Macaca mulatta: one gene and its partners. The main gene of each other region encodes a partner of the protein of the gene in region 3 in a complex. Links are inferred from orthologs where the notes say so. Each region holds a gene or a part of one and is shown on either strand. Other genes may lie near its edges. The genes, in order: PLEKHA4, PEF1 and KLHL12.

The links.
Region 1: the proteins of KLHL12 (region 3) and PLEKHA4 are in contact, whole or in part, in a crystal structure (PDB 8OIO), measured with the Homo sapiens proteins. The link is inferred for Macaca mulatta from reciprocal best matches to the Homo sapiens genes KLHL12 and PLEKHA4. Residues at the interface, in NP_067646.1 of Homo sapiens: Phe289, Arg320, Glu417, Tyr434, Ile439, Phe481, His486, Cys511, Tyr512, Tyr528, Leu533, Cys558; in NP_065955.2 of Homo sapiens: Pro177, Gly178, Gly179, Pro180.
Region 2: the proteins of KLHL12 (region 3) and PEF1 are in contact, whole or in part, in a crystal structure (PDB 8RBH), measured with the Homo sapiens proteins. The link is inferred for Macaca mulatta from reciprocal best matches to the Homo sapiens genes KLHL12 and PEF1. Residues at the interface, in NP_067646.1 of Homo sapiens: Phe289, Gln293, Arg320, Tyr321, Leu371, Glu417, Tyr434, Ile439, Phe481, His486, Cys511, Tyr512, Tyr528, Leu533, Cys558; in NP_036524.1 of Homo sapiens: Gly15, Gln16, Ala17, Pro18, Gly19, Ala20, Pro21, Pro22.

The regions. Positions count from the first base shown.
Region 1 is NC_133424.1:61,292,479-61,295,357, forward strand, and holds the end of PLEKHA4 (pleckstrin homology domain-containing family A member 4), read right to left. Parts: intron 2,689-2,879; coding exon 2,630-2,688; intron 1,934-2,629; exon of another isoform or gene 1,542-1,933; coding exon 1,429-1,541; exon of another isoform or gene 1,035-1,428; coding exon 772-1,034; 3' UTR 576-771; downstream 1-575. UniProt on the Homo sapiens protein: Binds specifically to phosphatidylinositol 3-phosphate (PtdIns3P), but not to other phosphoinositides.
Region 2 is NC_133406.1:209,235,915-209,239,663, forward strand, and holds the start of PEF1 (peflin), read left to right. Parts: upstream 1-1,380; 5' UTR 1,381-1,392; coding exon 1,393-1,416; intron 1,417-3,749. UniProt on the Homo sapiens protein: Calcium-binding protein that acts as an adapter that bridges unrelated proteins or stabilizes weak protein-protein complexes in response to calcium.
Region 3 is NC_133406.1:60,591,116-60,594,864, reverse strand, and holds the start of KLHL12 (kelch-like protein 12), read left to right. Parts: upstream 1-977; 5' UTR 978-1,082; exon of another isoform or gene 1,083-1,110; intron 1,111-2,939; exon of another isoform or gene 2,940-2,976; coding exon of another isoform or gene 2,977-3,021; coding exon 3,022-3,216; intron 3,217-3,749. UniProt on the Homo sapiens protein: Substrate-specific adapter of a BCR (BTB-CUL3-RBX1) E3 ubiquitin ligase complex that acts as a negative regulator of Wnt signaling pathway and ER-Golgi transport.

The DNA of each region.
Region 1 (2,879 bases), on a different chromosome or scaffold from region 3:
GATGCCGCGCCCGCCCCCGGTCACAACCACCACCTTCCCGGCATAGCGCGTTCCCGTAGCCATCCGTGTCCACCGGTCTCTCTCTCTCTCTCTCTCTCTCTGTGTCTCTACTCTGGGCCTTTTTCACCTCCAAAGCCCCGTGAGGCCGTCGCATCAAATCCTCAATAGAAGCTGGATCGTGGAAGTCCAGCCTCGGGGGGCGTTGCCAGGAAGGCTAGGGACCTGGAAGTTTGTCCCCAGCCCCTCCTCCCTCAGACACTCCTCTCCTCCCACAGACACAGGAATCCAGGAGCCCCAGTCCCTCCTCCCTCAGACCCAGGAGTCCAGCCTCCCAGCCCCTCCTCCCTCAGACCCAGGAGTCAGGGTCCCAACCCCTCCTCCCTCAGACCCGGGAATCCTGACCCAGGCCCCTCCACTCTCAGACTGAGGGATCAGATTCTCTATCCCTTCCTCCCAGAGACCTGTAAGTCCAAGCCCCCTGTCCCTTCCTCTCTCAGGACCCAGGAGTGCACGACTCCGGCTCTGCCCCTCAGAGACCCCAGTGCAACAACCCCAAACAGACAGAAACAAAGCTATTGACTAAAAGTTCAAAGTTTTAATCCAAATTTAGACAGTGTTGAGAAAATCAAACTTTGGCCATAGAAACCATTTCCCTCCCGGGCGGGCGATGGGGACCAGACCACGCCCCTGATGCCCTGAGTGGTCCCAGATCTCCGGCGGTACCTCCAGACCACGTGCTCACGCTCCGATTGGCTGCCACGTTTGGGCGGGTTAGAAGCTGGACTGTAGCAGAGTGACTCGCAGAGGCCACGCCCCCTCGTCCTGGGGCAGGACCGGAGGGGCGATCCCGGCATCCCACGTGGGCCCCCAGGGGGCGGGACTTCCTCCACGCCCACTCCCTCGGCGAGAGAACCCTGTGGAACCCGAATTAGCCACCGGGGAAGATCTGGGGGGAGGGGTCTCCTGGCGCGTGGGGTCCGAAGGAGGCAGCGGCACACGGGGAAGAGGGTCTCCCCGGGAGTCCAAATTTCCACCTAGAGAGGATGAGTGGGAGACATAAGAATGGCAAACTTCAGCAGCAGGACTCCGGGTTCCCAGGCCCCTCCTCCCTCAGACCCAAGAGTCCAGGCCCCCAGCCCCTCCTCCCTCAGACCCAGGAGTCTGGACACCCGAGTCCAGACCTCTTTCAGACTCAGATGTCGGTCCTCTCCCCGCCCCCTGACCTCTTCCTCCCCTCCTCCCAAGTGTCCCGGAACCCAGTCCACTCTTGCCTGAGACCTAAAACTCCCAAACTCTGCCCAACTCTTTCTTCGCCAACATAAAAAATTCCCACCGGCCCCTAGACCCCTCCTCTCCAGGACCTGGGATTCCAGGTCTCCAGCTTTCTCCTCCCTAAAACCCAGAAGTTCAACATCCCCAGCCAGTCACCTGTCATCATTCTGTGCCACTGCGACGCCTCAGTAGCCAGGGCTTGGGAGAGGCTGAGAACCCGCTCCCGGTGACCTTCGGAAGTCGGCAAGTAAGGGGTGGTGTTCCTTGGACTAGAAAAAAAAAGAAGATTGGGGGTGGGGTGTGTACATACATGGGGGAGAGGTGGGGAGGGTTAATTGGTACAAAAAGAAAAGGATGAATAAGACCTACTATTAGATAGCACAACAGAGTGACTATAGTCAATAATAATTTAATTGTACATTTTAAAATAAAGTGTGTAATTGGATTGTTTATACATCAAAGGGTAAATCCTTGAAAGGGGATGGATACTCTATTCCTCATGACGTGCTTATTTCACATTGCCTGCCTGTATCAAAACATCTCATTTATCCCGTAAATATATGTACACCTACTATGTACCAACAAAAATTAAAAATTAAAAAAAAAAAACAGTCCAGGTGCGATGGCTCATCCCTGTAATCCCAGCACCTGGGGAGGCCAAGGTGGGTGGATCACTTGAGGTCAGGAGTTCGAGACCACTCTGGCCAACATGGGAAAACCCAGTCTCTACTAAAAAATACAAAAAAGTTAGCCAAACATGGTGATGGGCACCTGTAATCCCAGCTATTAGGGAGGCTGAGGAAGGAGAATCACTTGAACCCAGAAGGAGGAAGTTGCAGTGAACTGAGATCGTACCATTGCACTCCAGCCTGGGAGACAGAGCAAGACTCCGTCTCAAAAAACAAACAAACAAAACAAACAAAAAAAAAAACAAAACAAAAGTAAAAATAAAAATAAAAACTAAACAGCTCGCACAGTGGGGACCCGGGTACCGCGCGTGCCCTTCTGGGAGTTGTAGTTCCTAGCACGTGTCTCTAACAGATGTTAAACATGGCACCGCCCTCATACCGCCCACATGCATTATGGGATTTGTAGTCCATTCGCAAATCACTACCACCCAATTTCCTTGATGCAAAAGCAGGCTATGCTATTGACCAAGGGAATTTGGGGAACTAAAGATATCACTACGGATCTAGGGCTTTCCGGTTTTGTTTCAGATGCCCCGGGAACGTAAGCATATCTAGAAGGGTTGCGATTTGTAGTTCCATATTCAGGAGACTTCAATAATAATGCTACTCCCCTTTGCTTATGCAAATTTTTTTTTCCTGCTCCCTTGATACGCCCTCCAGTTCCTTACCTACTCCAAGACCCAGAGCTTCTGAGCCATTTCTGGGCTCCCGAGTGTCCTACGACAGGCTGGAAAGGAATTGGGGCATTAGAACTCCTCACCTGGAAGCCCCACATTCTCATTTTGAGGGTGAAGTGAAGGGGCTCCAAAAGAGAATGAAATTGCCCAAAAACACTGGCAATGTTTTGTTTTGTTTTTCCTATGCTTCCGTAGGCACTGAATTTTTAAAAATTAATGTATTGGCCAGGTGCGGTGGCTC
Region 2 (3,749 bases), about 150 Mb from region 3:
GGATGCTGGGCTTAATACCTACGTGATGGGATGATCTGTGCGACAAACCACCAGGGCACACATTTACCTATGTAACAAACCACATCCTGCATATATACCCCTGATCTTAAAATAAAAGTTGGAAATTTGAAAAAAAAAAAAAACAAAGCTTGCCAAAGGTGATACGGTTAGAAAGTGATAAAACAAAGATCCTCCCTCCAAAGCAGAAGTGCTGAATGGTGGAACTGAGCACAGAAATACAGAGTAGCAGAAGGGGCGGTAAGATTGGAAAGGTGAGGTTGGGCCAGATTCTGAAGGGGCCTGGAGTGCCAGAATGAAGAGACTGGGCCTTATTTTGTAGGCGTGGATGAACAGCATCCGTTGTAGGCTGTGCAATGAGTAAGTGGCATGATCAGCACTGTGATTTTGGAAAGTGCACTTGGTTAGATAGATGGGCTAGGCTGGATAACACTTCGTAATAATCGTGTCAGTCGCTGTACTAGATACTGGAGTTATAATGACAAGCAAAAACAGACAAAACCCTAGCCCACCTGGAAGAACTTGACAAAGTAATCAAATAAGCACACAAATAACTGTACAACCGGAACCACTGAGTGGCAAGTACATGGTGCTGAGATCACTCAGTCACCAGGATTTGACCTGCGATGGGGAACGACCTAGACTTCCCTGCTGAGAACTGGACATCCATTGACCCCGGTTCTAGGCCACCCACTGTGAGCTAGGGCAAGTCAATTGCCTCTCTGGACCTCAGTTTCCCCATTTATGAAGAAAGAGGCACTAGATAATTCAATTTTCCTTCAACTCTAACGGTCTGGGATTTTTTTCTCCAAAGACCACAGATCTGTATCTCACTACAAGGCTACTAACTGGTACCCAGTGTTTTGACATTAGAAAAGCAATTCCGCCATTGCCTCTCCCTACCGGGAAGAGTCGGTGGGTTCCCACCTTGTCAGGGGAACCGCCCGCCCCCCTCCTCTCCTTTCCCGCGGCTCCTCTGCGGAAACTCAGGAGCTACGCCAGCAACTACGTCACTATCATGCGTCCCACTTGCCAGGTTATAACATGGCTACCGCAGCGACATCCCACCCAGGCTTCTCACTAAATATCCCAACCTGACCACCGCTTGGGCCCACTCCAGCTCAGAAAAGGGAGGAACATTAGCGCCGGCACAGCGGCCAAGACTTTCGGAAGCTCCATCAGTCACTTAGCTCCCCTGGTCTCTCGGGTAGGCATCCGCCCACCGCCCGATCGTCACTTCCGTCGGCCGTTGCGCCCAAGATTGACAGGCGCGGACGTCCAGTCAGATGCGGGCCCAGCCCCAAAACCGAGGCGAGGGGCGGGTTTGAGAGCGGAAAGCCCCACCCCTTGCCTGCGTGTGACGTCAGAATCGCCATGGCCAGCTATCCGTACCGGCAGGTGAGTGTGTGAGGGACCCGCGAATCCAGGTAGCGGCCGTACCAAGCGCAGGCCCGGCGCCCCCCTGCTCTTTTCCCCCGCTTTCTCCGCGCCCTTCCCACGATGGGTTCGCTTCAGCGAGGCCTCGCGCTGTAGAGAACCGAAAAGAGACCGTCGGTCGCGCCCGGCTCACGTCATGAAGGACCGCACATTCGCGAGGTCGTGTCGCGTCCCCTTTGACGTCGCTCACGCGAGGATTTGGGGACCTTGGACCCCACAGGTCCAGGCTGGCGCTGGCCTGGGCTCCACAGCCTCCCAAGGCCCCCACGGGGGCCTTGGGCGGGGGCATCAGCCATGACCGGACGTTTAGAGTTCTGGTTCCGTCGATCTAGTTTGGGGCGTCGGATAAAAATCCAGGCTTCCAGACCCACCCCACACTGCATCAGAGTCATCAGGAAACTTTGGTCGTAGCAGGCGCCACAAGTGAGCTGGTTTGACCACTGACTTAGTTCAGCACCGCCATTTCGCATGTAGAAAAGTGAACCCCGAGAAGACACAGAACTTACCTGAAGTCACCAGGCAGTTAGGCAGCAGGGCCGAGGTCAGAACCCGGGCTGCCTTCAGATTCCTCTTCCCCAGCGTATATTCAGTGAGGAATACCACAGCAAGGTGATTCTGTGGCCAGAATTGTTTGTTGGGTGATAGTAGGGTGTTGAAGTGCACTTTGGAGTCAGAGGTAGGTTCATACCTTAGCTCTACTACCTAAATAGTTGTGAGCCCTTGAGCAAGATGTTTTGCCTTTCTGAGTCCAAGTATCCTGTAAAATAGGGCCGAATAATAGGATCTGCCTCATAAAGCTATTGTGGAGAGTCAGGAGGTGATGCTTACGAAGCGTTTGGTACATAGTGAGGTGTAACAAGTGTTGCCCTTTAGCATTTTGATTTTTACTAGACTTCTAAAAGGCCAGTGCCCGGAGGGTCCTCAAAATAGACCCCTCATTTTACAGAGGAGGAAATGAAGCCCACAGAGGCCTGCGATCGCACAGTTATTTAGGAGATGAAACCCGTGCGGGAAATTTGGGATAACAAGGTCAACTGGTATATTACACAGTGCTCAGCTGAGTATAGTCACATGCCAAAAGATGTAACAGCCCTTCCAAAGAGTGCAGTCTTGTACGGGTTACACAGTATTCGGACCTCCATTATCCTAATCACGAAGGCTCTATCGGCAAGCAGGTATTATTACCCCTAATTAACTGCTAAGGAACAAACCCAAAGAGGTTAAGTGGCTTCCCAAAAGTCACATGTAGTAAGTGAGGGTGAGGCCATGACCAGAGCTTAGGACTTCTCTTATTGCATCCGTAGAGAGAGGTAGGAAAGAGGCCACTGCAGGCTGGAGTTAGGAGAAAGTGTAACATAGCAGTTGTTTCCTAAAGTCCGTTCCGTTTGCTGAGTCTTGTGAGGTGTTAATAGATATTGTTAATATAGTAGGATTCTGTAGTTAACTAAAGTTTTGGAAATACTCTTCTTTAAGTATAGCTGAATAAGTTTGTTGACCACAAACAATTTCAAAATTCTTAATTTGCTAATGTACATGGTAAATCTTCCAGAAAGGAATATAATATGCAGTATTTCTTAAACACATTTAACCATAGAAACTCCCCCTTCCCTCTTTCTTTTCAGATGTCTGGTCACTTTTTGTGACTCTAGTATTTCTGAGCAACACAGGCTGAGAAAACATTCATAGTGCCTTGTTTCCCAATGGCTGGTCTTCTGCCACAGAATCACCTGAGAGCTTGTTTAAGAAAGCACGCTTTCGGGTCCCGCTTCAGACCTGTTCTGTACCCAGGAATCTACATACTAATAAGCATTAGGGACAATTTGTGTGCATCCTAAAAACAGTGACAGGTTAGACAGAACTGTGCTAGAATTCTAGCTGTGTTAATAGTTATATACCCTTGGACAAACTAAGGGCTCTAAGCCTCTGCTTCCTCACCTGTTATATAAAGGGAGAAATAATACCTGTGAAAAGGGCTAAAATGAGGTTGAAATGCAGGGAGCCTGGCACGTTGCTAGTGCCTAGTACATGCCAGTGTCTGGTGGCAGCTCTTGCTGCTGTGACTGCTCTCATGATGCTATGCTGCCTGGGCTATTCTTGGAGTGAAATACTGAAAAGGAGCACAGAGAGAGGAGTCTGGAATAGAAAAAGAAATGTTGCTTTTTTTCCTACCATACCCTTGTCCGCCTCCTGGTCTCAGGTGTTCTAAGAAAGGAAACCGGTTGTTTTAGAGCATCTCAGTCAGTGCTGCCTCCCCTCCACCCACTACATAGCTTTGGAGGATTCCAGCCTATTGT
Region 3 (3,749 bases):
GGAAGGTAAAACATACTTGCTGCAATCAGATGCTTGGCATATTAAGCGTTGGAATTCTCTCTGTGTGCCCTGCCTCGTGAGCAGTAGGGAGGAACTCAGGCTCAGACAGTCGCTGAGCTGTAGATACATTCCCAGGCTCCCTGCCGGACCCCACAACATCCGGCCTTTTTTGTTTTTTTCTTTTTTTTTTTTTTTTGGAGACGGCGTTTCAGTCGGTCGCCCAGGCTTGAGTGCAGTGGCGCGATCTCGGCTCACTACAACCTCCGCCTCCTGGGTTCTAGCGATTCTCCTGCCTTAGCCTCCTGAGTAGCTGGGATTACAGACGCGTGCGACAACGCCCGGCTAATGTTTTTTGTATTTTTAGTACAGATGGGGTTTCACCATGTTGGCCAGGCTGGTCTCAAATTCCTGACCTCAAGTAATACACCCGCCTTGGCCTCCCAAAGTGCAGGGATTATAGGCGTGAGCCACCACGCCCGGACTTTTTTTTTTTTTTTTTTCAACAGGGTCTCTGCAGTGGCGACTCTGGCTTACTGCAACCTCTGCGCCTAGCTCAAGTGATCCTCCTGCCTCAGCCTCCCGAGTAGCTGGGACTACAGTCGGGGCCACCACGCCGGGCTAATTTTTTTTTTTTTTTTTTTTTTTTAGAAACGGGGTTTTGCCGTGTTCCCCAGGCGGGTGTGGAACTCCGGAGCTCAGGTAATTCGCTCGCCTCGGCCTGCCAAAGTGCCGGGATTACAGGCGTGAGCCACCATGCCCTGCCCACCAGACCTTTTTCTAATTCGGCTTCCTAGCAACGTGCAGAGGCCCGGCACCAGGGTACAGGCAGGTCACGTGACACCACCTCTTCACGTGACGCAGACTCGAGCGGGAGGAGGGCGGTGCTCCAGCTGCATTGCGTCATCACGTCGCGCGGCCGCAGGGACCAGACCTGGACGGCTCCAGAGCCTCCAGAGCCTCCGGGTGGGGGCGGCGGCGGCGGCTCTTCGGCTCTTCCTGAGCCGCCTGCTGGCCCCGCGCCCCACTCCATCCCCACAGGCTGGGGACGGGCCCGGCGCTGCTGTGTGGGCTCGGGAGCGGAGGTGAGTTGCGCGGAAGTGATGGCAGTCAGCCCTTCCCTTCCTGTCCGTCAACTCCGGGTTATGGCCCTACCCCCCATCCTTGGTCTCCCTGTAAGGCGGAATGGGAGACATGCCGGAGAGAGGAGGAAGGCTGGCGGGGGGGCGGGGCATCTGGCCTCAGTCGCCCTCTCAACTCTCCCCTGAATTGCCCCCCTGCGATACCTCCATCTGGCGGCGCCGGTCATATGCCTGGTGGTATCAGAAGGAAGGAGTTCGTTTCCTTCTCTAGAATGTAGTCTTTCCGGAATTTACTACCCCATTCCTGCCCCGAATCTCCCGAAGTGGAATCCCTCTATTCAGATGTTAACGGAAGTTCTAGAAAATAGGTCACTTCAGAAGGGTGAGGGTGAAGGATATGCTGAGACTTGGAGTGTTGAGGCAGGAATCCCCTAGAAGGAAGGCCACTCTGCACTAGGGGTACTGTCATTTTGGCACGGAAACGATAAAACACCCCCCAGGCTGTCTTCACTGTAAATGGACGTTTGTTCCAGACTCTTTTTGCACCCCTAGAGTTGAAACTAAGTTGACTTAAGTCTTTTTGAAAAACATATGCTTTGATGAATCACCCCCTTTTCTGCAAAATGGGTCATGCAGTTGTTGGAGGGATTATCTATAGTGCTTATAGAGTAAAATGCCAACTATAAACAGAAGTAGATGAGAATTTAGGATCTCATTTTTCCTGTTGAAAAATTACTTGTGAGTTGCGAACTTCTGGAGACCACAGTTTTATTTCCTGCCGTCCCCCTACCCCCGCCCCGCCGGATCGTTTCAGAAAGTTTTGGATTCCAATATTGATTCGTTAACCAGTAATGGACATTTACAGATATAGAGTAGGAATACCCTCTTGTTGAGGAGCTTCAATATCTTAAGCAAGTGTAAGTCCATCGGTAACTTGCGTGGTTTCCACTATTCAGTTAGGGTAATAGGTCAATTGAAGTTTCTTTCTTTCTTTTTTTTTTTTTTTTTTTGAGACAGAGTCTCGCCCTATTGCCAGGCTGGAGTGCGGTGGTGTGATCTCATCTCAATTCAACCTCCACCTCCTGGGTTCAAGCGATTCTCGTGCCTCAGCCTCCTTGGTAGCTAGGATTACAGGCGCGCGTCACCACACCTGGCTATTTTTTGTATTTTTAGTGGAGGCTAGGTTTCACCATGTTGGCCAGGCTGGTGTCAAACTCCTGACCTCAACTGATCCACCCATTTCAGCCTCCTAAAGTGCTGGGATTACAGGCGTGAGCTACTGGGCCTGGCCTGAAGTTTCATTTTAAGAAGAAATCCAGATATAGCTGAAAGTCATCAGACATAATTATTTGGCTACTTCTTTAGAAAAAAGTTTATTTTTACTGACTGGCCTTTCTCTCTCTAAGTTGAAGTTGAATACACACTTATTCTTACATTAAATTGTAAACATTCATTGTGCAACTTCTAGGATAGAAAGCATACATATAAAGCAGGATCCTCAGCCTCTAAATACTTATCTACTTAAGGATATTAAATAGTAATGATATAACACCTTTAAGAAATTGTATATTTTCAATTTGTCATTTGAGACAAGAACCTTGTGAAGATTTACAGGACATATATTGTTTATCTCTACTTACGTTTCAGCATTGATCATAATAAATGTCAAGTGGTAGGGACACTCCGTGGTAGAGGAATTCAGAGAAAGAAGAGAGAACTTTTACATGTACTAGATAGTGGCTAGATAGTGGTGGTGATGCCAGGCATAGGAGTGCCCTCAACTTGTGTCTGTTTGGGTCTGAGGGAAGCCTCTTAGGTTCTTAATTTGTAAAACTAATTAAATATGTTCAGTTTCCCTAGTTCTTTGAATATGCTCATTGTTTTTTTTCTCTTGTAGCTTCAGAATCCAAGGACCCATTTTGTTTTTTCTCCGCACTGCTTTATGGGAGGCATTATGGCCCCCAAAGACATAATGACAAATACTCATGCTAAATCCATCCTCAATTCAATGAACTCCCTCAGGAAGAGCAATACCCTCTGTGATGTGACATTGAGAGTAGAGCAGAAGGATTTCCCTGCCCATCGGATTGTGCTGGCTGCCTGTAGTGATTACTTCTGTGCCATGTTCACTAGTGAGGTAAGTGATAAGTTAGCCCCACACAAATGAAACTCCCGTGGTACTCTAGTTGTCTTATTTCACTGAATAAAATAGTAGAACTTTGATATAATTGTGAATTTTTACAGTGTGATGTTTTGGCAGATTCTGGATAAGATCTACCACTTAGATGACTATGCTTTAGTTTCCTCATCTTTAAGTTAGGAATAACAGTAATATGTAATAACTGGTTATTAAGGTTATTGTGAAGATTATTTTATGAAATAACGTACAAAATGCTTAGAGTAGTTTAATATGCAGTAAAACACAAATGTCAGCTATTGGATTTTACTATTTCTTAAATTTGTTTTCCAATTTTTCTCCTTTTTTTGTTTTTAATTTTATTTATTTATGTATTTATTTGTAGAGACAGGGTCTCACTGTGTTGCCCAGGCTGGTCTTGAACTCCTGGGCTCAAGCAATCCTCCCACCTTGGCCTCCCAGAGTGGCCACATCTGGCATTACAGGTGTGAGCCACTGCACCTGGCCTTTTCTCCTTCTAAAGTCTAAAAATT